Anolis sagrei: one gene and its partners. The main gene of each other region encodes a partner of the protein of the gene in region 4 in a complex. Links are inferred from orthologs where the notes say so. Each region holds a gene or a part of one and is shown on either strand. Other genes may lie near its edges.

Region 1 (7,566 bases), on a different chromosome or scaffold from region 4:
GAAGGACAGAAGGGCATTAGTCCTGTACTGCTGATCTTTCCCGGCATCTGTTTCCTAGCAGAACACACATTGCCTCTTAGCAATTTCAAAAGGAGGTTTTTTTAATTTAAAAAAAATGCTTCCTTAAAAATAGAAACAAAATTCAATTGCAATATTCCTCAGGACTTTTACTGGCACTCCATGGTTAAATCATGAAGATTTTTCCTCTAATGAGTGCTTTGCCAGCTGTTGCAGGGAAGAATAATGAGTGCTGCCATAGTGGTGAACCCTTTCCCTCATGTTATTGTTGTCCACATAAAATTTGCTGGACATATAGAGTCAATTCTATGGTATTCACAAGCCAGGAAGTCAGTGAAATATGGAAACACATCCAAGGTTGTGGGACATCTAACACTTATTGATCACAGTGTCATTACACTGAAAATGTAATATTTGGCCTATTTCTGAGTATATTAGATCTACTGATTCCAAAAATGTCACCTTTCTTACTTCCTTTCTTATGTTTTCTACTGACATGCATAGAGGATTGTTGAAAACAGCACCGCTGTACAAAACAAATGTCAGCAATAGCGTGAACCCTTAAATAAAGCTGCATGTGTGGAATATTGTTGTATTTTCTGTGTTTTACGGACTGTATAGGCACATCTTGAAACAATTCATATGGCCATTCAGATTTTATTGGACTGTAACTTCCATAGTCCTTAACTTTTGGCTATGTCAAGGTTGATGGAAGTCCCCTTTCCCTCGTCTAAATTGTATTAATGTGAAATATATGTATCTTCTCCCTGAGTCAAAGCAAGATAAACTATTTAGAAGGTATAATACAACATAGCACTTGATGGATTTGATCCACCAATATCTCATATTTATCTAAAGTTGTAAAACATGCATTGCCATCTATTCTTCTCCTAATTTATTTTAGAAAGCTTCTTCCTTGTAATTCACTCCTTTATTGAGGCAACCGATCCATTCTAAGCCTAATGATGTATAACATCTAGACATCCATGTTTGTAATAACTATGAAAATAATTCCCCATATAATCGAAACAATTCTAAAACTGATAAAAATCACTCCGTGTTCTCTATTTGGGCAATTAAGGGCTGTACAAATATGCAGTTTTTTTCCTGTTCTGCTAACTGGCTGGAAAAACTTCCAAACTTCCCAGACTTTTTTTCCCCAGTCTTGTAAGATTACATTGGGATCAGGTCCCAATACTGCTTAACTCAATGCTTGGGCTGTTTGCATTTAATGCACTGGGGGTGTCTTGCTATTTTTCCAAGATTTCAGAAACATATTCGAATCTAGGTGGTTTCAAACTAGTTATAACTGAAAGTCAATAGTAGTAACATATCAATGTTTCAGAAAAAGTAAGATGGTGCAGAGTCTGGAAAACTAGTAATAAAGTACAGACAGTCCCCAAGTTTATTACTAGTTCTCCAGAGACACTCCAAGTGGCCAGCTTCTGGTCAAAGGAAATCAAGTATAATGGCAAGTTTGTGTTCTTTAAAATACATTATAACTGTACCCTCAATTCGCTTCTGACATGATAATTAAAAAATAGTCCCTGAAGTACAAACATCTGAGTTACAAATGACTCATAGTTAAGAACAGGACTGAGACAACAGGAAGAGAGAGAAATCTCCCCCTAGGAAGGGAAATCTACTCCTGAAATAGTTATCACGAGGAAAAGGTGCCTCCACTGAGGCTTTCTCAGCAATCCTAGTTTCCACAACAAGCCACATTTTACAAAATCCAGTTATCACAGGGACAGAAATCGAGGTGAAATATTCAGAATAGGGACACAAACAGCAAATGATGCACCATATGGGTGTTAACTCTTACCTGTGCAATCCAAAGATAACTATATCTATATATCTATATCTGGCTGGAGCAACACTTTAAAAATGTACCTGTTCTGACTTACATACAAATTCAACTTAAGAACAACCTACAGAGCCTATCTTGTTTGTAACTTAGGGACTGCCTGTACTCTTAATAGTCCGTTCCAATTGAATAGGCCAGTATATTCAACATTTTTTCAGCCTCAAAATAGTTTTCAGTAGCAGCTTGACAATTTTAGGATTGTAGTTCTAAAAAGCAGTTCAACAAACATTCACTTGAATCTAGAAATGCATCGCGGTCATCAAATTAATCCTTGCATATAAAGTATCCAGAACCCTGGTCTGTTGCACAGACATTATAGTTTTTCAGAAAAAACAAACAGTGGGTGTTTAAACACTTTTTTTTTGTATTGTCGAAGGCTTTCATGGCTGGAATCACTAGGTTCTTGTGGGTTTTTTTGGGCTATAGAGCCATGTTCTAGAGGCTCTATAGCCCGAAAAAACCCAAGCATGTGGACAATTTCAACAGAAAGGAAGAGACCATGAAAATGAACAAAATCTGGCTACCGGTATTAAAAAACTCTAAAATTACAACAGCAAAACTACAGAGAGGAAACAACCAGGCACAGATTAACACCTCCCAGCAAGAGATTTTCCCAGGCTCAGGCAGGCCTTCTAATGCTAATGAAGGTGATCAGCTGAAACATTCACACCTAACTGCAGCAGGGAAGGGCTCCTTGCCCCACCCCGGCCATTCCACAGATATATAGACCCATTGTCCTAATTCCAACGGACCTCACTGCCTCTGAGGATGCTTGCCATAGATGCAGGCGAAACGTCAGGAGAAATGCCTCTAGAACATGGCTCTATAGCCCGAAAAAACCCACAAGAACCTACATTTTTTTTAAAATAAAAAAATCAGTACTGGAGGAATGTACACATTTATTTTTTTAAAAAGACACCCGCACAAACCTCTGTCCAAACCTACATAAGAGAAATCTTGACAAAACCTCAAACTATTCTTGGAACCTAATCCAATACATTGTCCATAAGATTTTTTCCCCCCATGTCAGGAGTGACCAGTGGGAATCTTCCCGTCAACAAGGCGCAGAATCATAGCTATAAAGATGGGAAATAAGTTACATCCTTGTTTGATACCTGATCCCCCTTTAAATGGGTCACTTAGGGAGCCATTGCTGTCCAATTGCTCGCAGGATATTCACATTTTTATCAGGGCATCCAGTTTTTGGAAGATGGTCCAAAGAGCACTGTGATTCATTGTACTGAAGGCCTTTGCAAGGTCAATGAATGCCATGTACAGAGGTTGTTTTTGTTCCCAAAAATTTTCTAGAAATTGTTGCACAGTGAAAATTATATTCAGAGAGGATGTCTTTTGAAATAGGTATAATGTGAGCCCTTGGTATCTGCAGGAGTTTGGTTCCAAGACCTCACGTACTGTGCCCTGTAGATATTAAAATACATGGATTTGTATAAATCAAAATGGTGAAATCAAAGTTTGCCTTTTGGATTACATATATATGTATGTATTTAACCCATGCATTCAGAATCCGCGGATACAGAGCGCTAACTCTACACAATGCAGATCTGAGAAGGCAGATAGCAATCTGGAATATACTTTACGTCTGCATAAAACAGTAAATATGGCAATTCTTTTGTGGTGCTAGAGGAGGGAAATAAGACACAATCAATTTTCTAATAAAGTTACCCAACAGGTTCAAGAGTAGAGTAGAATATGCCGTAATTTGGCTGGTATAAAATAATAATTTCTTTCTATGCATTGTTTTCAGATTGCAATCCAATGACCACTTTCTTGAAAAGGAGATTTCTTAAAATCAGTGGGATTTAACTTCTGGACCAGAGCCCCCGATGGTGCAATGGGTTAAACCCTTGTGCTGGCAGGACTGAAGACCTACAGGTCATAGGTTAGAATCCGGGGAGAGCACGGATGAGCTCCCTCTGTCAGGTCCAACTCCCTATGCGGGGATATGAGAGAAGCCTCCCATAAGGATGGTAAAACATCAAAAGCATCTGGGCGTCCCCTGGGCAATGTCCTTGCAGATGGCCAATTCTCTCGCACCAGAAGCGACTTGCAGTTTCTCAAGTTGCTCCTGAGACCAAAAAAAAAGCATTGAATGCCCTTGTAGCTTCAAAGCCTGGCTGATTGCTGCCTGGGGAGATCCTTTGTTAGAAGGTGTTAGCTGGCCCTCATTGTTTCTTGTCTGGGATTCCTCTTTTTTGTGTGTTTTTTTTTTAGTATTGCTCTTTATTTATTGTCCTGTTTTAGAAGTTTTCTTTGAAAATAGATTTTGTTCATTTTCATAGTTTCTTCCTTTCTATTAAAATTGTCCACAGGCCTGTGGATATCAATTCCTACCGGCTGTTAGGAATTGTGGGAGTTGAAGTCCAAAACACCTGGAGGGCCGAAGTTTGCTCATGCCTGCTGTAGCAGGTGAAGGAACAAAAAGGGCAGCCGGGAGCGCACAGGCCAGGAGTGCGCATGCTCACATTCCACAATGTGTTTTTTCCCTCCCCGTCGTGACCCCTCCCACTCCTCCTCCTCCTCCCCCTCCTCTACCACCCCTCCCCCCCACCGCCGCGCGCGAGGCCCCTTCCTCTTTCCGCAGTATTATGAGCTCAGCGCGCGGCATGGCGTGCCCTATGACGTAACCCGCCGGGCTCCTCCAATCAGAGCACGAGGAGGGGGGGGGGAGAGAGAGGCAGTTGGTGCCTTCTGCTGGGGAAGCGCGCGGAGACAAGAGAGTCAGGGAAAAGACCCGGATGTGCCCCCTTGCTGTTGTTGCGTGAAGGAGCGGGTCGTGGCCGGCGCCTGAGGCCGCCCCGCCAGGCCGCAAGATGGAGGAGGCGGGGTTTGGGGCCGTGGCGCCGCCGGTAGTCGTGGCGCCGGCGCCGCCGTCTCCTCCTTCGTTGCCGGGCGCGGCGGCGGCGTGAGGCGTGAGGCGGAGGCGAGGGCCGCAGGCAGGGAGGCCTCTCGGAGAGGGAGGTGGGGCCTCGGCGGGGCCATGCTGTCGGTGTATGGGATCCTGTTCTCGGCCCTGCTGGGCTCCATCCTCACGCTCCTGGCCCAGGTGCTGCTCTTCTACCGGAGGCCCCCGGAAGCCCCCGAGGGCTCTATCTCGAGGCCGGGCCCCAGCGCCTTCTCGCCCCGCGTGGTGCCGGACACCAGCCTCAGGGAGTACCTAGCCGGCTTCATCAGCTTCTCCGCGGAGCCCAAGCCGGCCTCGCAACAGCCCTCGCTCCAGGAGTCGCTCTCCTCGGTGGAGTGCACCGAGGAGACCCTCTACTGGCTCAATACCATCAACCTCTTCCTCTTCAGGGAGCTCAAGGACACGTCCCTGCTCCGACACTGGGTCACCAGGAAGATCAAGGTGGAGTTCGAGGAGCTGCTCCAGACCAAGGTGACGGGCAAAGTCCTGGAGGGGCTGAGCCTGCGCGACGTCTCCTTAGGCAACGTGGTGCCCCTCCTCAAGAACATCAAGATCCTCCGGCCAGTGACCTGCAGCGAGGACGGCTGCCCCGAGGAGCTGGACTTCGAGCTGGACCTCGAGTACCAGGGGGGCTTCCACCTGGCCATCGACGCCGACCTGGTCTTCGGCAAGTCGGCCTACCTCTTCGCCAAGATCTCCAGGGTGGTGGGTCGCCTGAGGCTGGTCTTCACCCGCTTGCCCTTCACGCACTGGTCCTTCTGTTTCGTGGACGAACCGGTGATCGACCTGGAGGTCAAGTCGCAATTTGAAGGGAGGCCCTTGCCACAACTCACTTCCATCATAGTCAGTCAGTTCAAGAAAGTGATTAAGCGCAAGCATACTTTACCTCACTATAAAATCAGGTAAGATCTCGAGAGAGAGGATATTTATTTATTTATTTTTATTTACTTCCTTTCTACCCCACCTTTCTCGACCTGGGAAGGGACTCAAGGTGGCTTACAAATCCGGCAAAAATTCAATGCCACACAGGTAAACAACAACAACAACAACAATAATAATAATAATAATAAACTTTATGTATACTCTGCTACCATCTCCCCAAAGGACTCAGTGCAGCTTACATGAGGCTAAGCCCACAATACATCAATAAACAAAAGCAATAACAACAATCAATACAATACAATTAATATAAAAATCACATAAACACAAAATAAACAATCAACAGTGACACACGAGCATTTAAAAACCAATGGCCGGGCCAAATGTAATAGATTAAAATTTAAATTAAACACATCTCATAAAAATATAAACAATCTAAGCATATAAGCAATTAAAACACAGAACAATCTACATTTGGTGGGCGAGGAAGCAGAAGGAAAGCAAGGAAGTATGGGGGGGGGGGGTTCAGAGGTGCACAGACCACATTTTCTGAAGTTGTCAGTGATTGTGGCTTGCATCCACATTCACAAAACTATGACTCTACAGCAGTGGTTCCCAAACTTTTTTTGACCAGGGACTACCCTGACCAGGGACCACTCCCCATACCAAAAGGGTTATGAATCAGTTTTTGGTCAACTTCAGAAAATTGCATTGGATAGACCACATCAGCTCTAGTTGCTAATACAGAACATATGCCGTCCAGTAGTCGCCATCTTCTCGCCCACAGAAAGCCATATTTAATAAGCCTCAGTATTATAAGAAGGTTTTGCAAGACCAGTCACTCTCATTGCAATGGTGTAGTGATGGTGAGGCCGCAGTCCAAATTTTATTTATTGCAGGCCATTGATGGTCCACAGACCACAGGTTGGGAACCACTATAATACAATGTATTTTAGAAGCCAGCCATCTAGTATGAGGAGGAAGTATTCGGGGGTGTTTCAAAAGTGCATAGACCACATTTTCTGAAGGTAATAATAATAATAAACCTTTATTTATACCTCGCTACCATCTCCTGAAGGACTCAGTGTGGCTCAGTGAGCATGGCTTGTATCCACATTCACAAAACTATACAGCATATCTTAGTAGTCAGCCATCTGGTTACATCACTGAGAAAGTATGAGGGGGTGTTTCAAAGATGCACAGACCACACTTTCTGAAGGTGTCTGTGGGCGTGGCTTGCATACACATTCATGAAGCTATAATTCTATGACGTATTTTAGTAGCCAGCCATCTAGTTGCATCACTGAGCCATACACCTCATATTAGACCAGGGATGAAAACTATGTGGCACTATCCAACACAGCCAACAGTAAAGAATGCTGGGATTGGGAGTCCCAACAGTGTTTGGGAACTCCATGATTGCCATGTCTGGACTGGCTGAGTATTCCTTATCTGAAATTCTTGAGCCCAGAAGTGTTTTGAATTTTAAATTATTTTGGATTTTTGTTTATATGTACAGGTCTAAACACAAAATTCATTTATATTTTGTATACACATAGCCTGATGGTAGTTTTATTAACTTTTTAATACATTATTTTTGGCTTGAAATAAAGTTTTAGAACATTGAACCATCAGAAAACAAAGTTGTCCCAATATCAGCCACTCATGTGGATAGTATAGGATTTTGTAATTTAGGATGATGAGGGGTTCTAAAATTGTACTAGACGTTTGAAGAGAGTTCCAACTAGTAGGTCACTGCTTATCTTGCAGCATCTGATTTCTCGATCTCTTTTGCTAAACATAGGCCAAACATGTATCTTGTTTATCAGGAAGGCAAATTTCAGTACATTGTTAAAAATGAAATTTGAGATTTTATTCT
Region 2 (7,412 bases), on a different chromosome or scaffold from region 4:
CATGGACTCGAGAGGGGCCAGGTTATTGTCATGCAATCAGTCTTTGTTTAAAACCTTAAGTCAATAGGAATTTTCCTTGCGAAATGGACTACCCAAGGCTGATGTCATGCTGGAGGTCATGAAAAGGTGGCTTCCCATATTTCATATACAGGCACATACACAGGGGTCAGGGGAGATACATAAGGAATATTAACGCTTAAGGGAATTTCATATACACCGATCCCACCCACCAGAGTCCAGATTAATAAGTTCATTAGCACAAAACCATGCCATCCCTCAATCATGAAAAAGGAGCTCATAGGGCTTGGGGAAAAGTTCCATAAAGTTTTCAAAAGATCTTTAAAGTTTGGGAAAGTTGTTCAAAGTTGTAGAAATCCAGAAAAGGCAAGTGGGAAAAGGTGTCCCAGTGTCCACAGAGTCCTTATGGCCATCCATCAACGCTGAAGATCGAGATCCATGGCGAGAACTACAGATCCCTCCACACCAAGGACCAAGGCGGTCCGCCGACATCTTAGGGATCCCATGGGTTGACCACGACAGTTTCCCAGGAGCAGCAGGCTCCTTGGACATCCACAAAATGGTGGCAGGGAGGCAACATCTTTGGAAAAACAGCTGGACTCCAGGTTGGGGTTTCAGAGGCAAAAAAGGTTATTCCTGGGGCGGAAAGGGCAGTGGAGCGAAACCGAGATAGCCATTAGACTTAGAATTCTCCCAGGAGAAGATTGGCACAATTTCCGGAGTGATCCATTGACTCGTGGATACGGGCACCCGAGGGGTTTCCGTATCCGTGGTTTAAGGGAATGCAGTTTAGGCCTCCCCGGGATGCGAAAATCGCATCCCAGGAGGGCCGACCGCCATCTGCAGCCTGGGAGAAGAAAGGTCTATCAAGAGAAAAGTGTGAGGTAGTAAAGGGACACAAAGTAACACTATGAAGAGGAGATAAGTTACAATTAACTAATACTTTTTATTGGGGGATTAGTTACAATGTTAGGAAGGTGAAAAGGCAAAGAAATAAAGAGGCTCCTGAGTTGCAGCTGCTGCTGTGGCCACGTCCATGCGGTTGGCCCAAGCGGGGCAATGGAGAACTGGGGAACTCCCTGCTGCAGGTCAGATCAGCTTGAAGGCAGGGAGTTCCGTGTTCAGCCTCACTAAGAGGAGGAAAGGGTTGGTTGACTTCCCATCTTCTGCTTTGTGGGATCTATTTTCTACTCTTCTGTCGTCTTTTGTGTTTCATCCCATTCTTCTTCGTAAGCTAAGAGATATTTACCCTTCTCCTAATAAGATTATATTAATATTTCCATTTTATCTTGTTCCATAAACTTAATAAATTCCAATCTGTTGTTAAATATCTAAGTTGTTGTGTTAGGCTACCCATACTTCTGACTTCCAGCATCTTTATTAACCATTCTTTTAGATTCGGGGTTTCTTTCCCCCTCCAATATCGGGTGTGCACTATTCTAGCCGCGGTTATGATGTAATTAAATTTTATTTATTTATTTTTATTTATTTGTCGTGTCAGGACAACCAGTCAAATTATATCACATTTCTAACAGAACAAAGCAAACAAACAGACAAAATACAAAATTTGTGAGTTTGGTAGTTGATTAGATGTACTTTGACCAGTATCTGGCCACTTGGAGTGCTTCTGGTGTTACCGCAAGAACACCATTGTGCATGTGGCAGGGCTCAGGTTGCATTGCAGCAGGTGGTCAGTGGTTTGCTCTTCTCCACACTCACATGTCATGGATTCAACTTTGTGGCCCATTTCTTGATGTTGGCTCTGCATCTCGTGGTGCCAGAGTGCAGTCTGTTCAGCGCCTTTCAAGTCGCCCAGTCTTCTGTGTGCCCAGGGGGGAGTCTCTCATTTGGTATCAGCCATTGGTTGAGGTTCTGGGTTTGAGCCTGCCACTTTTGGACTCTCGCTTGCTGGGGTGTTCCAGCGAGTGTCTCTGTAGATCTAAGAAAACTATGTCTTGATTTAAGTCGTTGACGTGCTGGCTGATACCCAAACAAGGGATGAGCTGGAGATGTCTCAGCCTTGGTCCTTTCACTATTGGCTGCCACTTCCCGGTGGATGTCAGGTGGTGCAATACCAGCTAAGCAGTGTAATTTCTCCAGCGGTGTGGGGCGCAGACACCCTGTTGACGTGCTGGCTGATACCCATGTAATTAAATATTATATCCTTATTTCTATCTAAATTAAAGTCTATAATTCCCTATAGGAAATACTCTGGTTTTAACTGAAAATGTATTGTAATCGAAATTACAATGGAACAATGGCTTCAAACTACAAGAGAGGAGATTCCATCTGAACATGAGGAAGAACTTCCTGACTGTGAGAGCCGTTCAGCAGTGGAACTCTCTGCCCCGGAGTGTGGTGGAGGCTCCTTCTTTGGAAGCTTTTAAACAGAGGCTGGATGGCCATCTGTCAGGGGTGCTTTGAATGCAATATTCCTGCTTCTTGGCAGAATGGAGTTGGACTGGATGGCCCATGAGGTCTCTTCCAACTCTTTGATTCTATGATTCTATACACAATAGTAGGGCAACTTTGATCCTCTTATCATAGCTGCCACTTTTGGACTCTCGCTTGCTGAGGTGTTCCAGCGAGTGTCTCTGTAGATCTTAGAAAACTGTTTCTAGATTTAAGTCGTTGACGTGCTGGCTGATACCCATGTAATTAAATATTATATCCTTATTTCTATCTAAATTAAAGTCTATAATTCCCTATAGGAAATACTCTGGTTTTAACAGAACATGTATTGTAATTGTAATTTTATTATTATTATTATATATTATTCAATAGAAATAAAATATGTTTTAATATAAAGGTAATTGAGTCATACGTGTGATCAAGATATAAAGAAGGCGATTAAACTAAAATGGAATAGCTTTAGAATAACTTGACTGTCATGCTGTTTAATATCTACATGAAGCCGCTGGGTGAGATCATCCGGAGTTTCGGGGTGCGGTGTCATTTGTACGCAGATGATGTCCAACTCTGTCACTCCTTTCCACCTGTCACTAAGGAGGCTGTCGAGGTCCTGAACCGGTGCTTGGCCGCTGTGACGGTCTGGATGAGGGCGAACAAATTGAAATTGAATCCAGGCAAGACAGAGGTACTCCTGGTCAGTCGTAAGGCCGAACAGGGCATAGGGTTACAGCCTGTGTTGGATGGGGCCGCACTCCCCCTGAAGACGCAGGTTCGCAGCTTGGGAGTGATCCTGGACTCATCCGCTGAGCCTGGAAACCCAGGTCTTGGTGGTGGTCAGGGGAGCTTTTGCACAATTAAAACTTGTGCGCCAGCTGCGCCCATACCTTGGGAAGTCTGACTTGGCCACGGTGGTCCACGCTTTGGTTACATCCCGTTTAGACTACTGCAACGCTCTCTACGTGGGGTTACCTCTGAAGACTGCTTGGAAGCCTCAACTAGTCCAACGCTCGGCAGCCATGATTTTAACAGGAGCGGAGAGCAGGGAGCATACAACCCCCCTGTTGTGCCAACTCCACTGGCTACCGGACTGAATTCAAAGTGCTGGCGTTGGCCTTTAAAGCCCTAAACAGTTCCGGCCCAAGCTACCTATCTGACCGCATCTCTGCCTATGAACCCACCAGGACTTTGAGATCTTCCGGGGAGGCCCTGCTCTCGATCCCGCCTGCTTCTCAAGCTCGGCTGGCGGGGACGAGAGATAGGGCCTTCTCGGTGGTGGCTCCTTGGCTGTGGAACGCCCTTCCTACGGACATTAGACTAGCACCATCTCTAATGGTATTCCGCAAAAAAGTGAAGACCTGGCTGTTTGAGCAGGCGTTCGAATAATTAGTGCAATGATTGGTTAATGAACACTGGAATGGAACAATGGATGACGAATCTGGAACATGTTTTTGATGAATGGGTATTGTAGTAACTGTTTATTAATTGTGTTAGGTTGTTAACTGTTTCTATACTGCAGCACTGAATTTTTGCTGTTCGTATTTGTTGTGAACCGCTGTGAGTCGCCTTCGGGCTGAGAACAGCGGTATATAAGTAAGGTAAATAAATACAGGGTTAGTCAAAATGAATAGGCCAATTCGGGTACAATTAATTTTCTTATTGTCCTATTCATTTTGACTAACCCTGTACATAAATAAAGGAGGGAGGAGAGCGCCTTCATGTGCGCATGCGTGGAGCGCCTAGAGTCAGAGTTGAAGTTCCGACCTAAAGCATGTGGGCGTGTGATTGAAAAAAAAGACGGAACTTTCGTTTGCGCATGCGTTGCGATTGAGAATCCCGGTTGGTAGTGGCGCATGCGCGTTTGGGAGGGATAGGGACGTTCTGTGGGAGGGAGGGAGGGAGGGAGGAGCGCGCCTTCGCGTGCGCATGCGTGGAGCGCGCGCAGTCAGAGTTCCGGAGTTGGCCGGCAGGGCGGGGCGCATGCGCACTGAGGGGGATGTAGTTGTGGAGAAGGAGGCGGTGGCTCCTGAGGGCGCTTTGGGCCTCCTCCGCCTGGGATGGAAGCCGGGTGAGAAGGAGGAGGGGGATTATTATCTGTTTATATGAATATTATAGATTTATATTGTGAATTATCGAGGAGGGGGCAACTTAGGGAACTCAGGAATTACTATTATAGTGTTTGTGTATATATATGTGTGTGTGTGTGTGTGTATATATGTGTGTGTGTGTTTATATTCTGAGGGAAGAATTATTATTATTACATTTATTATATTTATATTCTAAGGGAATGAGATCAAAGAAGTAGCAACTTAAGGGACTGAGGAATTATTATATATATATATATATTATAGAATATATATTGATATTATATATTATTTTCTGTAGGAATGGAATTGAGGAGGCAGTAACTTAGGGGACTGGGAAATTATTACAATATTAGGTTCTTGTAGGTTTTTTCGGGCTATATGGCCATGTTCTAGAGGCATTCTCTCCTGACATTTCGCCTGCATCTATGGCAAGCATCCTCAGAGGTAGTGAGGTCTGTTGGAATTAGGACAATGGGTTTATATATCTGTGGAATGACTGGGGTGGGGCAAAGAGCTCTTCTCTGCTGAAGCTAGGTGTGAATGTTTCAGCTGACCACCTTCATTAGCATTTGAAGGCCTGGCTGAGCCTGGGAAAATGTTCTGTTGAGAGGTGTTAAGATGTGCCTGGTTGTATCCAGGCCAATGGAGACTCCACCTCAGACATCAGAAGAGCTGCAAGACCAAGAACAAGCCACAAGAGTCAAGACGAAGATCCACCCAGAGGAAAAGGGTTCCTGCCATACATCAAGGGAACCACTGACCGCATAGGGAAGCTGATGAGGAAACACAACATACAGACTATCTACAGACCCATCAAGAAAATCCAACCAATGCTCCGTTCAGCAAAGGACAAGAGGGATCCTCTCACCTCTGCAGGAGTCTACCGTGTACCATGCAGCTGTGGACAAGTCTACATAGGGACCACCAAATGCAGCATTGCCCAAACACAAATCAAGGAACATGAAAGGCACTGCAGACTACTTCAACCAGAGAAGTCAGCCAGAGCAGAGCACCTGATGAACCAACCTGGACACAGCATATTATTTGAGAACATGCTGGACCACTCCAACAACCACCATGTCGGACTACACAGAGAAGCCATTGAAATCCACAAGCATGTGGACAATTTCAACAGAAAGGAAGAAACCATGAAAATGAACAAAATCTGGCTACCAGTATTAAAAAACTCTATAATTACAACAGCAAAACAGCAGAGAGGAAATAACTAGGCACATCTTAACACCTCTCAACAAAAGATTTTCCAAGGCTCAGCCAGGCCTTCAAATGCTAATCAAGGTGGTCAGTTGAAACATTCACACCTAGCTCCAGCAGACAAGAGTCCTTTGTCTCACCCTGGTCATTCCACAGATATATAAACCCTTTTTCCTAGTTCCAACAGACTTCACTACCTCTGAGGATGCTTGCCATAGATGCAGGCGAAACGTCAGGAGACAATGCCTCTAGAACATGGCCATATAGCCCGAAAAAACCTACAAGAACCTAGTGATTCCAGCCATGAAAGTCTTCGACAATACATATTACAATATTATTATTATTATTATATATTATATGTTTATATTACAGTATGTGATGGAGGAAGGGGTAACACGGAACTGAGGAATTATTGTTACTATACTGTATTATATTTATATTAATATTATATTTATAAATATATTTATATATTTATTTATATTTATACTATATTATATTTATATATATTTGAGTCGCCGTATGGCTGAGAAACGCGAGCTATAAATATCATAAACTAGCTTTCCCTTGCCACACGTTGCTGTGGCCCAGTCTGTTGATCTGGAAAATAAAGTAATGAGAAAGTGCTGGTTTCTAATATATGTAATGTCTTGATGCTTGTGGGTAAACAGTATTTCTACCTATCTACCTACCTATCTATCTATCTATATCGATGGCTGGATGGCTCTTTGTCAGGAGGGCTTTGATTAGATTTTCTTGCCCTGGTTAAGGGAGTTGGACTGGATGGCCATAAGTATTTTCTGTTGGTCATGGGGGTTCTGTGTGGGAAATTTGCCCCAATTCTGTTGTTTGTGGGGTTCGGAATGCTCTTTGATTGTAGGTGAACTATAAATCCGAGTAACTACAACTCCCTAATGTCAAGGTCTATTTCCCCCAAACTCAATCTGTGTTCTTATTTGGGCATATTCATGCCAAGTTTGGTCCAGATCCATCCTTGTTTTGAGTCCACAGTGCTCTCTGGATGTAGGTGAACTACAATTCCCTAACTCAAGGTCAATGCCCACCAACCCCTTCTAGTGTTTTCTGTTGGTCATGGGAGTCCTGTGTATCACCTTTGGTTCAATTCCATCATTGGTGGAGTTCAGAATGCTCTTTGATTGTAGGTGAACTCTAAATCCCAACATCTACAACTCCAAATGACAAAATCAATTTGTTTTGAGTGAAGGAGCTGGTAAACTGGCTGGGATTTCTGGGAGTTGTAGGCCAAAAACATCTGGGGACCCCAGGTTGAGAACCACTGCTCTAGAACATGGCCATATAGCCTAAAAAAATCCATAACAACCCAGCCAGTAGGCTGTTTAGAATTATGGTAGTTGAAGTCCAAAACATCCGAATGGCCCAAGTTTGCCCATGCCGGGTTTAGATGGTTCAGAGCAAACGGTCAGTCCCAAAAGATGTGCAAGTTAGTGACCAAAATGTGGCAGCTGAGCTCTTAATGAGAAAGAATTATAGGACAGCAGGAACATTTATTTATTTATTTATTTATTTACTTTACTTGTATACCGCTCTTCTCAGCCATCAGGCGACTCAGAGCGGTTAACAACCAGAATCAGCAACACAGTACAAAATCATTAGTCAATTAACATCAAAAACATCAATGCTACAATACAGCAAAACAACAATCCATCA
Region 3 (7,348 bases), on a different chromosome or scaffold from region 4:
TATTATTATTATTATTATTATTAGATGATGATGATGATGATGATTATTATTATTATTGTATTTGTACTATATATATTCTTCTTATTATATTGCTATATTGTATTTTATGATTATTATATTATATATTATGATGATGTTTACATGTTCATAACAACACAGTACAACATGCACACTAAGTCCAAGTGTCTGGGCTTCGTCTCTGAATATCGGGCTCCTCCCAAGGGTCTGGGGTATTAGAGTATTATTTATTATTATAATAGTGTTATTATATTTATTGTAATTAGATATTATTATTTTATTTATTATATATTATTATTATTATATTTACATGTACATAACACAGCACACATGCACATTAGGGCCTATGATATTAGAGATATTATTACATAATAATCTAATAATTAGATAGGTCCAAGTGTCTGGGCTTCATCTCTGCATACCAGGCTCTTCCCAAGGGCTTAGGATAGTAGAGGTATTATTAGATTATTATTATTATTGACACAAAAGTACAGTATGTCACAGCAAACGAGGTCTATATGCTGGATTTCGTATCATTATTATTATAATATTTGTATTATATATTATTATATTTCTATAATAATATATTATTATTAATATAATAATAATAAGAGTCAGAAACGACTGAACGAATGAACAACAACATATTGCTATATTTTATTACATATAATTGTGATGTTTACATGTTCATAACAAGTTCATCTCTAAATACCAGGCTCTTCCCAAGGGTCTGGGGTATTAGAAGTATTATTTGATTATTATAATAGTTAGTGTTATTATATTTATTATAATTATATATTATTATTTTATTTATTATATATTATTATTAAATTTACATGTACATGCTCATTAGGTCCAAGTGTCTGGGGTTCCTCTCTAAATATCGGTCTCTTCCCAAGAGCCTGGGATATTAGATGTATTTTTGCAGATTGATGTTCTGTCCAAATTAAGGCTTTTTGAGGTTTCTTGGAATTATTATTATTATTATTATTATTATTATTGCTGCTGCTGCTGCTGCTGCCAAGCTTTGCTTAGTAGGGAGAGGGCAGGCTTTTGGGGCGTCTCGTCCCTCGCCTTGATGTAGGCCCACTTCCTCCTTTCTCCCCCCAGATCGCCGGCTACTTGTATGGGGTGAGCCCGCCAGACAACCCTCAGGTGAAGGAGATCCGCTGCATCGTGATGGTGCCGCAGTGGGGGACCCACCAGACGGTCCACTTGCCAGGGCAGCTGCCCCAACATGAGTACCTCAAGGTGGGGATCGTGGGCCAAAGCCGGGGGGGGGGGGGGGGTTCCTGCCATTCTAAAGGCTTGGCCGTCATCCCTCTTGACCTTGAACCTCTCTGTGCAGGAAATGGAGCCCCTGGGCTGGATCCACACTCAGCCCAACGAGTCCCCGCAGCTCTCCCCGCAGGACGTCACCACCCACGCCAAGGTCATGGCTGAGAACCCCTCCTGGGACGGGGAGAAGACCATCATCATCACCTGCAGGTCAGGGACACGTCCGGGGGGGGGGGGGTTAAATCTTTTATCTTCTATCTTTCCATCCATTCATCCATCCACATAATAAAAGTGAAAATCTGTCTGTTGTGTGTATGTGGCTGGTGTGCCCACTTACACAGACAAGCTCCTCCCTACAGCTCCAACTCCCACCAACCCTTTCCTATTCTTTTCTATGGCCACTGGTGGGAGTTGTAGTTCACCCTGCATCCAGAGAGCATAGTGAACCCCACCAATGGCGGATCTGGACCAAACTTGCCACACAGATCCAACACTTTCAAATCACCCAAGCCAGAAATTTCCATAACAGGAAAAATTATTTTAAAATATTAATTGACAACAACAGTTTTCTGTAATGTTTGTTATAAGTTGTTTACAACAAAGTAAAAAAAAAGTTGTAATTTTGCATTCGACAATTTAAACATTCTTGCCGCTAACATAGCTTGTTTATGTGTGTGTGTGTGTATATATGTGCGTGCTCAATGAGGACTACCACCTTGTTGCCAGGATTGGGGATGAGTTCCAACAGGATGTGTGGGGTGAAGGGCTTGCTGGCGGGTTTAAAATATTTTTAAAATATTAGTCAGCAACAATAGCAGTAGTTTTTAAATATTTTGTAATTTTTTATAAGTTGTTTACAACAAAGACTTTGTAATTTTGCATTCGACAATTTAAACATTCTTGCCGCTAACATCGTTGTGTGTGTGCATGTGTGTGTTTATATATGTATATATGCTGAATGAGGACTACCACCTTGTGCCAGGATTGGGGGTGAGTTCCAACAGGATATGTATGATGGAACTGGACAATGTTTTTTTTTAAATGAGGATTTATTGGCTTGTGTTTTATTACTGTTATGATTTTAACTGACCCCCTTGCCTCTTTGTTTCCCTTTTGCGCAGCTTCACGCCCGGCTCCTGCACCCTGACGGCCTACAAGCTGACGCCCAGCGGCTACGAATGGGGCCGGCAGAACACGGACAAGGGCAACAACCCCAAGGGCTACCTGCCCTCCCATTACGAGCGGGTCCAGATGCTGCTCTCGGACCGCTTCCTGGGCTTCTTCATGGTCCCGGCCCAGGGCTCCTGGAACTACAACTTCATGGGTGAGATTGAGAGAGAGAGAGACCCTTCCTTGGGACCCACAAGGAGCCTTTCTCCCTCTTGTCTTCTCACAACACCCTCTTGTTTGACCCCCTTTTTTCCCAGGCGTGCGCCACGACCCCAACATGAAGTACGAGCTGCAGTTGGCCAACCCCAAGGAGTTCTACCACGAGGTCCACCGCCCCTCGCACTTCCTCAACTTCGCCCTCCTCCAGGAAGGGGAGGTCTACTCCGCCGACCGCGAGGATCTCTACTCCTGAGGCTGACCCACAACAACAACAACAACAAGGAGCACCCCCTTTGTTTCTCCTTTCCTTCAAGAAGAGTTACTCCTCAGCATTTCACCCCCTTAGTTCCTCTTTCCACACAGTATGGCTGTGGAGGGATTGCGCGTTGTCATGTACAGTGTCTCTGCCCCTTTCCCAGTGTTGTCGAAATAAAGGTTTTGTACAAAGTTGGTGGCGTTGTACCCTCTCCTTCTTGTCCCTCCTGCTCATATTTTTATTTATTTCTCATATTTATTTGTCATATTTATTTATTTCTCATATTTATTTATTTATCAATTTTATTTCTCATATTTATTTTTCATTTTTATTTATATATATCATATTTGTCATACTGATTTATATTTTTTTATAATATATTTATTTATTATTTTTATTTATTTGCCATATTTATTTATTTACCATGTTTATTTAGTTATTTGTCATATTTATTTATCATATTTATTTATTGTATTTTTATTTATAATATATTTATCATTTTTATTTATTTATTTACCATAATTATCTATTTATTTACTTACCATATTTATTTAGTTATTTGCCATATTTATTTATTTATCATATTTATTGTATTTTTATTTATTTATAATTTATCATTTTTATTTATTTATCATATATATCTATTTCTCGTATTTTTATTTATAATATATTTATCATATTTATATTTATTTATTTATTATTTTTATTTATTTGCCATATTTATTTATCATATTTATTTATCTATATTTATTTATCAATTTTATTTATTGTATTTTTATTTATAATATATTTATCATTTTTATTTATTTATTTACCATAATTATTTATTTATATTTATTTACTTACCATATTTATTTAGTTATTTGCCATATTTATTTATTTATCATATTTATTGTATTATTTATTTATAATTTATCACTTTTATTTCTTTACCATATTTATATTTATTTATTTCCTGTATTTATTTTTATTTATTTATAATATCATATTTATATTTATCACTTTTATTTTTATTTATTTATTTATCTATTTATATTTATTTATTTATCAATTTTATTTATTGTATTTTTATTTGTTTATATTTATCTATTTTTATTTATTTATTTCTCGTTTTTATTTATTTTTATTTATTTATGTCATATATTTACCATATTTATTTATTTATCATATGTATTTCTCATTTTTATTTTTAATATATTTATCATTTTTATTTATTAACCATCTTTATTTACTTATATTTATTTATCTATTTATTTATATTTATTTCTCATTTTTATTTAGTTATTTATTTCTCATATTTCTCAGCTTAAAGGGCTGAGTGGGAAAAGGAAAGGGCCTGAGGCCAGGAATTCTGGGAGTTGTAGTCCAAAACACCAGGAAGTAGGCCCAGGCCTGTCTTAGTTGTCTTGGTTTGTTTTGCTCTGGGAGGGGGCGTGGCCTGCTTGAGCCCCGCCCCCTTAGTGTCCCGAGGCGCTCCGGCCAGTGTCCCGGATGGAGTCCCCTCGGCCGAGCGCGCCTCCGCCTTCCTCCCGGTCCGCGGACCCTGTCTACCGCCTGGCGGGCTCCTTGGGCTCAGAGCTGCAGCGCCTCTCCGCCCTGGTGGGCCCGGACGCCGTGGCCGGATTGGTCACCCAAGTGGTCCGCCTCCTCGAACTACTCGAGGCCTGGGCGCGGGAAAAGCCAGGCCTCAGGGCCGCCCTCGCGGAACAGGTGGGCTCTTCTGTCCCTCCCGGGGCCCCGTACCTCCTCGGCTTGTGATTGGCTGGGGACCCCTTTGGACTTTCCTGATTGGCTGGGGACCCCTGTCGGCAGGATAAAGGAATAGAACCCTTTATGTCCCCTCGCGCCCTCCGTATCTCCTTTCAGTTTCTATCCCGGACAACTTAGAAGCGGGACACTTTTCTCATTCGCTGGGGACCCCTGTCGGTACAATAAAGGAATGCAACACTTATGTCTCCTCGAGCCCTCCGTATCTCTTCAATTTCTCTCCCGGACGCTTTTTGATTGGTGGAGGATCTCTAGGTAGAAAAGGGACGCTTTTTGATTGGCTGGGGTCCGCTTTGATTAGAAAAGGGACGCTTTTTGATTGGTTGAGGATCTCTAGGTAGAAAAGGGATGCTTTTTGATTGGCGGAGGTCCTCTTTAATTAGAAAGCGGCGCTTTTTGATTGGCTGGAGATCTCTGGGTAGAAAAGGGACGCTTTTTGATTGGCTGGAGATCTCTAGGTAGAAAAGGGACGCTTTTTGATTGGCTGGAGATCTCTGGGTAGAAAAGGGATGCTTTTTGATTGGCTGGGGACCTGTTTGGGTAGAATAAAGCAACAGACCGCTTAGCAGGTGAGTTTAAATGTCCCCTGGGGCCCTCCGTATCTGTTTAGTTTCTTCTCCGGAGGTTTCTGATTGGCTGAGGTCCCCTTGGGGTCGAAGAGGGACGTTTCCCATTGGCTGAAGGGCGGGGGCTTTGTGGGGAGAGCCTTTTTTGTCCCCTGCGGCGCCCCGTCACCCGCCTTTCTCCCCTCAGCAGTGCCAGGCGGAGGAGGAGAAAGAGGAGGAGGAGGAGGGCCCTTGCCCGGAGGAGAACACGCAGCTCCAGGCCCAGCAGTGCCGGGACCGCCCCCCAGGCGGAGGTAAGCACCACAAGAAACCCTGGTTGGCCTGAGTGGGAGTCTCTTTGGCCTCCTAAACAAGGATCCCCCCCCCCCAGGCAGGAAGCAGCCAGGCTTTGAAGATGCAAGGCCACTCAGTGCTGATCAAGGTGGCCAATGACAACATTCACACTTGCCTCCAACAGGCAAGAGGTCTTTCTCCCATCTCCCAACAAAGGATTCCCCCTCAGGCAGGAAGCAGCCTGGCTTTGAAGATGCAAGGCTGCTTAATGCTAATCTGGAACCCCCTCCCCAAAGATCTTAGACAGGCCCCTACCCTGGCAGTCTTCAGAAAGAACTTGAAGACCTGGCTGTTCCGATGTGCCTTCCCAGAATAGGAAATCTCCAACACCAAGTCCCAGAAGCACTTTAGTAGAACTAAGATTGCTGCACACTGCACGTTGCACTTGCCCTATAATGCCTTACATACCTCCCGTCACATCAGCACTTTTAACCTTGTACCCATTACTCTGGCCCGGCCCAGTTTTATTGTGTCCTGTTGTATTGTTTATTGCTTGTTGTTTAATATTGCTTTAACTGTTTTTAATTTGCTTTAGGTTTGTATTGTTTATTTATTTACTTACTTACTTTATTTGTATACCGCTCTTCTCAGCCCTGAGGCAACTCAGAGCGGTTTACAATTATTTAGGTATACACAATACAAAATCATTAAGCATTTAAAAGCAATAGCATCACAAGTCATTAAACATCAATATCAATACATCACTACATCAATATAACAAATCTATCAGGTCTCATCAATGAAATCAGAATCCAAACTATGTTTGTTATGTTGTGTTTTGAGGCCTTGAGTGGCAGGCTCAAACCCAGAACCTCAATCCATGGGTGATACCCGACGAGAGACTCCCCCCTGGGCACACAGAAGACTGGGCAACTTGGAAAGCACTGAACAGACTTTGCTCTGGCACCACGAGATGCAGAGCCAACCTCAAGACATGGGGCCACAAAGTGGAATCCTCGACATGCGAGTGCGGAGAGGAGCAAACCACTGACCACCTGCTGCAATGCACCCTGAGCCCTGCCACATGATGCACCAGGGAGGACCTTCTTGCGGAAACACCAGAAGCAACACCAGAAGCCTTTTCTGTGGTGGCCCCCTGGCTGTGGAACGCCCTTCCTATGGAAGTAAGATCAGCCCCCTCGCTGATGGTGTTTCGAAGAAGACTAAAAACTTGGATGTTTGAACGGGCATTCGGTTAAACAGTGCAATCAATGTGAATGACTACAGGAACTGGAAAATCGGACGACGAATTGGATCATGATTTTAGTTATGAGTTGTATTGGGTTAACTATTGTTGTGCTAATATTGTGTATTATGCTTTTGTTGATCTTAAATTGTATATTGTGGTTGATTTTATTCTTGTTGTAAACCGCGTTGAGTCGCCGGCCAGGCTGAGAAACTGCGGTATACAAGTAAAGTAATAAATAAATAAATAAGCACTCCAAGGGGCCAGAGACTGGTCAAAGGACATCTAATCCACTACCAAGTTTGCAAAAATTGTGCTTTTTTAATCTGTGTGTTTGTTTTGTTCTATTAGAAATGTAATGGAATGTTCTGGTTGCGGATGACACGATAAATAAATCCTTGGTGTTATGGGGTGACTGACCTCTTCTCTCTCTCTCTTTTTCTCCTTCCTCTGCCCATGTGCAGAGAGCGCCCTGCGGAAGGAGCGGGAGGTGATGCTGCGGCTGAAGGAGGTGGTGGACCGCCAGCGGGACGAGATCCGGGCCCAGGCCCACGAGATCCACTGCAAAGCCAGGGACACTGAGGCGGTAAGGAGAAACAACATTATTATTATTAT
Region 4 (7,119 bases):
AAGCAAGACAGCAGTCTGACTGCAAAAGAAATCCTGGTGAAAACAAGGGGTTTATTTTACAGAGCATTCACTAGGTACAGTATTAGGCTCCGCACTGCTTAAGGGGGTTTATGGTCTACTAAATGAATTGAGGCTGAAATCAACACTGCATGTATCTGACCAAGTCAGTTCTAATTCCTGAAAGCATATGCTATAATAAATTTATTAATTGTATAGGTGTCATGGGGATCTCTCTTGGTTTTGCTGCAAGCAAGTACTAGTGCCCCTTGGAAACTTGTGACAGTGAGGATTCAGTAAAGTTCCCTGCAGGATCCATGGGAAAATCAATCAGCCTATCCATGATCTTACCTGGCTTATGATCTACTTATCATAATTACAGTGATAAAGAGAAGATTGGGGGGAATGGGACAACAAAGGGGGAATCTAGCAGCACCTTTTAAGACTGACTGGTTTATATTTTTCATGACATTTTATGAATATTAATCCATTTGTTCAGCTGCTATGACATAAGAGGCAGTTTGATACTTGAACTTCAATGGCTCAATGCTAGGGAATAATGGCAATTGTAGTTTTAGCCTTCCCTGTCACCAAATCCTAGGATTCCATAGCATTGGCCATGGCAGTAAATGTGTAGCCAATCTGCATTAATTTCACAGTGCAGATGCATCCCTAGTAATCTTAAAGCCTCAGGTTGTTAAGCATATTTACAGATCTGTGGGAGTGAGAGATAATGTAATAGATTTCTACTTTCCTGGTCAAACAGTATATGTGGAATACCCTTTCTTTGAAATGCTTGGGACTAGAAGCATTTTGGTTTTTGAATTATTTACTCAGATTTTGAATATAATATGCACAATGAGGTATCTTGAAGATAAGACCCAATTCTAAACAAATTCATTTACCTTTATATATAAATAGCCTGAAAATAATTGTATAGTCTTTCTTAAAATTTTGTGTATGAAACAAAGTTTGTATGCACTGAACCATCACAAAGCATAAGTGTTACTATCTCAACCATGATTTTGGAGGTTTCTGGAATTCTGGCTAAAGGATGCTCAGCCTGTATAGGATTTTCAAGGAGCAATTCTTGAAGAAAGAAATCACAACGGGTGACTGGTGAGAGCAATTGAATGTCATTCACAATCTGCAATCTATTAGCAGAGGTAGGAATAAAGAAAATAGTTTTATAACACAATACATGAATCCCCACAACTGGAAATATAACAAAGGAAATCTCCCAATTTCACAGATCAATGTTGTAAAGACCCAAAAGACCCAAATTTCCCCATGCAGTCTTTTGAAGATTTAGGACAGAGGGCCAGGATTTGCATCTTTCTGAAGGACGCAGATGTGGACAGATATTATTATTTACAAAAGGCTCATGTGTATATGTATGTGTGTTGTGTGTGTGTGCACGCGTGTGTGTGTGTGTGTGTGTGTGTGTGTGTGTGTGTGTGTGTATATATATATATATATATATATATATATAATTTGGACTGATGAAAGGTAGGCTGCTAGGGATGGTGTGACTGGGATTTTGGGTCAATGTGGAATGTTAATGTTTTAGAATATTTTACATATTTTTATTGGACCTATGTTTTATTAGTGTAATCATGTTTTATTTAAATATTTGTATTATTATTATTAGTAGTAATTCAATTATCTTTTTAGTTATAAGTTTATTGATGTTATTTGTATTAGGTTAATCTGTGTGTATTTGCTTTCCTATGGCATTGAATGTTTGCCTTTTTGTATGTAAACCGCCCTGAGTCCCCTTGGGGAGAGAGAGCAGTTTATAATTATAATTATAATTATTAATAGTTTGATGGCACAAAGAATTCAATTATTTCAATGTTGTTAATGGCACACAGTGGTTTTTTTTAAAGTACATTGATATTTTAATGTGTTTACATTGTTTGGTGCCTTTGGTAGTAATATTGAGAGAAAGACAAGACAAAAATAAAGTACAAAGTATAATGTATTAAACTGTTTGATATTTATACTGGTGGGTTTAGCGGCCATTAGTTGTTTTAACTATGCTTAACGATATTTATTGTTTTCTTTTTTATTTACAGGCTTTTGTTTGATATTATGTATATTTTTTGTGTTGTGAGCTGTCCCAACTTTCTTTGGGGAGAGGGGGTGGGAATACAAATAAAGTTTATTATTATAAACTATGTATGTATGTGTGTGTATAATAAATAACAAATAAAACTACTAGCCTGAACTGGGCTGCTAGATCCCTTCTTACAATGCCATAGGGTGCATCTACACTGTAGAGCTGTAGCTCTCCATCTTTGGAACTCACTACCAGGTGAGATTAGGCAAGCCCCCACTTTAGCAGCCTTCAAGAAAAACCTGAATTCGTGGCTCTTTTGATGTGCCTTTGGAGAGTGACCATTTATCCCATTTCTGTTTGCTTCATCTATAGTGTTGTCTCTATGACGCACTCCCCCCCCCCCCCCCGTCCTAAACTGAAAACTACCCTACTGTTTATCCTTTTTGGGCTCCCCTCAATTACATATTTTCTATTCCTATCCTATCCAGGGTTTTATCATTCTACCTCATCCATTTGGCCTGCCCATTCTTTTCGATTTTATATTATGTTAGTTTGCTTTATTTTATTTTGCTACTGTATGTATTTTATTCTGATGTATATTTTTGTTGTCTGCATTCTGTATTTTATTGAGCTGTATTGTATCTTTGGGCTTGGCCTCATGTTAGCCGCCCAAGTCCCCTTTGGGGAGATGGTGGCGGGGCATAAATAAAGCTTATTGTTATTATAGAGCAGCCATGGGCAAACTTAGCCCCTCCAGGTGTTTTGGATTCCAACTCCCACAATTCCTAACAGACTCGGGCCTTTTCCTTTTCCTTCTCAGCCGCTTAAGCAGTTGAAGCAATTCAAGAGAGATATTGACAAGCTGGAATGTGTCTAGAGGAGGGCGACTAAAATGATCAAGGGTCTGGAGAACAAGCCCTATGAGGAGTGGCTTAAGGAGCTGGGCATGTTTAGCCTGAAGAAGAGAAGGCTGAGAGGAGACATGATAGCCATGTATAAATATGTGAGAGGAAGCCACAGGGAGGAGAAAGAAAGCTTGTTTTCTACTTCCCTGGAGACTAGGACATGAAACAATGGCTTCAAACTACAAGAAAGGAGATTCCATCTGAACATGAGGAAGAACTTCCTGACTGTGAGAGCCTTTCAGCAGTGGAACTCTCTGCCTCAAAGTGTGGTGGAGGCTCCTTCTTTGGAAGCTTTTAAGCAGGGGCTGGATGGCCATCTGTCAGGGATGATTTGAATGCAATATTCCTGCTTCTTGGCAGGGGGTTGGACTGGATGGCCCATGAGGTCTCTTCCAACTCTTTGATTCTATGATTCTATGAAAAAGGAAGGGACCCGAGGCTGTTAGAAATCGTGGGAGTTGGAGTCCAAAATACCTGGTGGGCTCAAGTTTGCCCATGCCTGCAGTAGAGTTAGTATATTCAGTTCTTGTGGGTTTTTTCCGGGCTATATGGCCATGTTCTACAGGCATTTCTCCTGACGTTTCGCCTGCATCTATGGCACGCATCCTCAGAGGTGAGGTCTGCTGGAACTGGGAAAAAGGGGGTTTATATATCTGTGGGATGACCAGGGTGAGACAAAGGGCACCTAGCCCAACTCAGAGGAGGATGCGTGCCATAGATGCAGGCGAAACGTCAGGAGAAATGCCTCTAGAACATGGCCATATAGCCCGAAAAAACCCACAAGAACTGAGTGATTCCGGCCATGAAAGCCTTCGACAATACAGAGTTAGTACAGTTTGATGCCACTGTGACCGCCCTGGCTTAGTGCTGTGGAATCATGAGAGTTGTAGTTTTACACCGTCTTTAGTCTTCTTGGCCTCGCCAAACTCCCACTCCCAGGATTCCCCCGCATGGAGTCCTGGCAGCTCAAGCCATTCCTGAGGATGGACTAAGAGAGCGGCTTCTTTTGTCTTCACTGACAGAGGAGTCACGTGAGCGAGGCGGCACCATAGACAGAAGCGGGGGCAGAGCGGCCACCCTCTTGCGACAGAGGAACCCAAAGCCTTCCCGGCGTGGCCCCGCCCACTAGGCGCGTCGGCACGCCGGGCGGGTCTCGTGACCGGAAGAGGGCGAGCGAGAGACGGAAGTGAAAACGGGGAGGGTGTTTGGCCCCATTAAAGCGGACCTGAGCGGCGCAGGGAGGAGGAGGTTGTCACCGCTGCTGCTGCTGCTGTTGTTGAGTTACCACAGAAGTCGCCACCGAGGAGGAAGAGGAGGAGGATTCCGGGCCCCCTGAGACGGTGAGGGAAGGGCGGCGGAGGGAGGGAGCGAACGAGGGAGGGAGGCCTGGCGGGTGGGGCTAAGCGAGGCTTGGCGTCCCGGTGGGCCCGGCCTTGGGTGTGCGGCCCAGGCAGCGCCAGCGGGGCTTGTTTGGGAGACAGCAGGAGGAGGAGGAGGAGGGCGCGGCTCCCTCGGCGCTTCAGGCCGCCCTTCTGCCTCGGCTGCCAAGGAGGGAGGAGAGAGCGGCCCCGGGCCCCGCCCTGGCTCTCTCTCCGAGGCAGGAGTCGCTCTGGAAGTTCCTTGCCTCCTCACGGCAGCTCCGGAGGGAAAACGAAAGGGAGGCGGCCTTCCCGGAAGGGATTTTGGTGTGAGGAGCGAGCTTCTTCCTCTTTCTCCCCCGACACAAAGAGATGTGGGGTGGAGCCCCGTGCTCGTCCTGATACCTTTGAAGTCCACACAGCCATATCACCTAGAATATCAAGACGGATAAGCCACAATATGTGCTTTGGACCGGGTTATCTGAGTCCACACTGCCATATAATCCAGTTCAATGTGGATTTTATACAGCTGTGTAGAAGCGGCCTGAGTGTGACTTAGACCTTGGCCCTCCGAAACCGAAAGGCGAGAAAGCCCGGCCCGAGTAGGTTCCCTTCCCCCTTCTGGTCCCCTCCCGCCAGCCCTTCCCTGCAGGCAAAACAATAACGCTTCCTGTCGCTCCCGGTTGAAGAGTTCAAAGGTAAGGTAACACGCCTTTGTTTCTCATGCCCCATCTCTAGTAATCACTTAAATCCATTTCCAACCGGTGTTGAAGAAAGTGGTTTCGCTGTGCAGACGATTACAGAGGAAATCCAGGAGCCACTTCGAGGCCTGGATGGTGATTACACAGATCACTCAGCGTTAAGAGGTTTCTTTCGCACGCTTTTGTGGGGCTTTGTTGTTTGCTCTCCGCAGTTTGAAGCTAGTTTCCAACTTCATTAAATAGTCAAGAGTAGAAGGGGCCTTAGTCGTCTGCCTTGTTCATGCCAAAGTGCTTGACCTTGGTGTCATATTACTTCGGGAAGTTTGAAATTGAAACCATCTCCTGAGGATTACTTTCTTGTCCGCTCCCTGTGTAAATAATCACCTGAGGTAAATGTACTCTTTCCTGAATGGTATTTTTTTTGGTCGCTCGGTCTTATAAGCAAGCTTGTCCCATTGTATAGTAGGAAGACTTATGTGTAAGCCTACATTGATTATCAATATACATAAAAATGTAATGTTAGTTTGTGGGATTTACATAACTCAAAAACCACTGGACGAATGTACACCAAATTTGGACACAATACACGTATTAGTCCAATGAGTGACCATCACTCATAAAAATGTTGAAAAACACAGAAGAGACTTAAAAAGCACCCACCCACCCCCAATTACAATGCATGCACAAAACCACACATATACACAAATGCATACATATACACACAAAAAGCACTTATACACAGACTGGGCCACAGCAACACGTGGCAGGGGATGGCTAGTGATTCATATAAATGGTTAGGTAGTATGTTTGTGGACAATTCTGGAATGCCTCTGGTACGCACAAGGACAGCTAAGGGTAATAATATATTGCTAGAATCTACTCAGAATGCACAAATGGTAAACCATTGGGTCCTTCAACTTGATGCTATCTTACTGGTTAAACATGAGATCATTGATTAAATTAGGAAAAGCAAACAAAGCTTGATCTCTTCCAAGTATGTAACTTGTAAGTGTGCTGCCTTTCTGAGTATTCACTAGTATTGGTCAAGACTGCAAAAGAGTCCAAGAGTACTCCAAGTCTTGACTCATCAATGTCCTTGGACAGAACAGGATTTATCTTGGTAATAGTGTGTGCACGCATGTGCAACTGAGTAGGAGAAAGTTCTTATCAGACTAGCATTTTCTGTACCTTTTTGTAAAGATTTAAATATTTAAGCATGGCAAATGAATCCTGGAAGCATGCTGAATTCTAAGAATTTAGTGGAAATTACTGAAACTAAAATGAGTTGCCCTTCCAACTGATTTTGTAACAAATGACTGTCAAATGCCAGATAATAAAATGTAAGCCAGGTTTAAATTTGGCTTGCTTAAATTCACTTCAGTAGTCCAAGTATTCTTGTGTATGTGTTATATTTTAAATATTACATGTGTAATTTCACTGATCTTTGTAAACTTCACAGATTTTCAGAGTGTGCTTTTAATTTCGTTGCTCCGCTGCTGAGGAGTAAAACTTGATTAATGGTAGGAGGAGTTTAGATACTTTCCCTGTTCTTAGCCATGCCCTCTTAGTTGGGAAGAACAAGCATACTGTCTTCCCTTGTGATTGAAGCAGCTGATAAAGCACATGATTTAGTTCATGGATGGCTAACTACAGTTTGTCTAGGTAAAGAGATCACCAAAATGCCAACAAGTAGTTTTGAATAAAGCCAGCAATGCAGCCTGTCACTTTTACTTCAGAAATCATGGCAAATAGCATGTGGGAGCTCTATAGCAATCTAATTCCCTATTTATAACATTTCCACCCAAGGGTCTTAAACACAAACAAGAAAGGTCTCTAATATATATGTTGTTGAAAGCTTTCATGGCTGAAATCACTGGGTTGTTGTGAGTTTTTCAGGCTGTATGGTTCTAATTTGTGTTTGAATATATCGTCTCTAATACGTGTCTCTAATATATGTTTGATGGTACTCTACTTGCCCTTGAAATTCTAAGCATCAGAACAAAGAAGTCATTTAAATAGCGTATGCATTTTATATTGAGATCTAGTTTTATAACTTGATAGTTCTTGAAACAAGATGGAGCATAATCTAGAGAAAT

Evidence for each region.
Region 1: the proteins of RAB7A (region 4) and PDZD8 are in contact, whole or in part, in a crystal structure (PDB 7F6J), measured with the Homo sapiens proteins. The link is inferred for Anolis sagrei from reciprocal best matches to the Homo sapiens genes RAB7A and PDZD8. Residues at the interface, in NP_004628.4 of Homo sapiens: Lys10, Leu14, Asp16, Ser17, Lys38, Ile41, Gly42, Ala43, Asp44, Phe45, Gln60, Trp62, Gly66, Glu68, Arg69, Phe70, Gln71, Ser72, Leu73, Gly74, Val75, Ala76, Phe77, Tyr78, Arg79, Thr98, Ser101, Trp102, Glu105, Phe106; in NP_776152.1 of Homo sapiens: Ile999, Lys1000, Leu1001, Val1002, Arg1003, Lys1004, Glu1005, Gly1007, Leu1008, Asp1009, Asp1010, Phe1013, Ile1014, Lys1017, Gln1044, Leu1051, Asn1054, Asn1055, Val1058, Leu1077, Leu1084, Gln1085, Thr1088, Ile1092.
Region 2: the proteins of RAB7A (region 4) and RUBCN are in contact, whole or in part, in a crystal structure (PDB 6WCW), measured with the Homo sapiens proteins. The link is inferred for Anolis sagrei from reciprocal best matches to the Homo sapiens genes RAB7A and RUBCN. Residues at the interface, in NP_004628.4 of Homo sapiens: Ile41, Gly42, Ala43, Asp44, Trp62, Gln71, Ser72, Leu73, Gly74, Val75, Ala76, Phe77, Arg79, Ser101, Asp104, Glu105, Ile108, Gln109, Ser111; in NP_055502.1 of Homo sapiens: His818, Asn821, Met822, Lys824, Thr825, Arg827, Leu883, Gln885, Ala886, Lys887, Gly888, Phe889, Ile890, Glu892, Gln895, Glu897, Ile900, Pro903, Cys915, Lys916, Arg931, Arg934, Arg938.
Region 3: the proteins of RAB7A (region 4) and RILP are in contact, whole or in part, in a crystal structure (PDB 1YHN), measured with the Homo sapiens proteins. The link is inferred for Anolis sagrei from reciprocal best matches to the Homo sapiens genes RAB7A and RILP. Residues at the interface, in NP_004628.4 of Homo sapiens: Ser3, Lys6, Leu8, Ile41, Gly42, Ala43, Asp44, Phe45, Leu46, Thr47, Thr58, Trp62, Ser72, Leu73, Val75, Leu182, Tyr183, Asn184, Glu185; in NP_113618.2 of Homo sapiens: Phe248, Glu249, Leu252, Gln253, Arg255, Asn256, Lys259, Ala260, Phe263, Leu264, Glu267, Glu268, Tyr271, Arg274, Glu275.

What each region holds. Positions count from the first base shown.
Region 1 is NC_090023.1:204,010,308-204,017,873, forward strand, and holds the start of PDZD8 (PDZ domain-containing protein 8), read left to right. Parts: upstream 1-4,546; 5' UTR 4,547-4,883; coding exon 4,884-5,710; intron 5,711-7,566. UniProt on the Homo sapiens protein: Molecular tethering protein that connects endoplasmic reticulum and mitochondria membranes. PDZD8-dependent endoplasmic reticulum-mitochondria membrane tethering is essential for endoplasmic reticulum-mitochondria Ca(2+) transfer.
Region 2 is NC_090023.1:267,843,649-267,851,060, forward strand, and holds the start of RUBCN (run domain Beclin-1-interacting and cysteine-rich domain-containing protein), read left to right. Parts: upstream 1-4,391; 5' UTR 4,392-4,484; coding exon 4,485-4,495; intron 4,496-7,412.
Region 3 is NC_090031.1:35,512,634-35,519,981, forward strand, and holds the start of RILP (rab-interacting lysosomal protein), read left to right. Parts: upstream 1-4,333; 5' UTR 4,334-4,372; coding exon 4,373-4,591; intron 4,592-5,401; coding exon 5,402-5,507; intron 5,508-7,197; coding exon 7,198-7,319; intron 7,320-7,348. Other genes in the region: PRPF8 (pre-mRNA-processing-splicing factor 8), read left to right, coding at 1,129-1,269, 1,367-1,506, 2,418-2,620, 2,724-2,878. UniProt on the Homo sapiens protein: Rab effector playing a role in late endocytic transport to degradative compartments. Involved in the regulation of lysosomal morphology and distribution.
Region 4 is NC_090022.1:56,363,415-56,370,533, forward strand, and holds the start of RAB7A (ras-related protein Rab-7a), read left to right. Parts: upstream 1-4,116; 5' UTR 4,117-4,304; intron 4,305-7,119.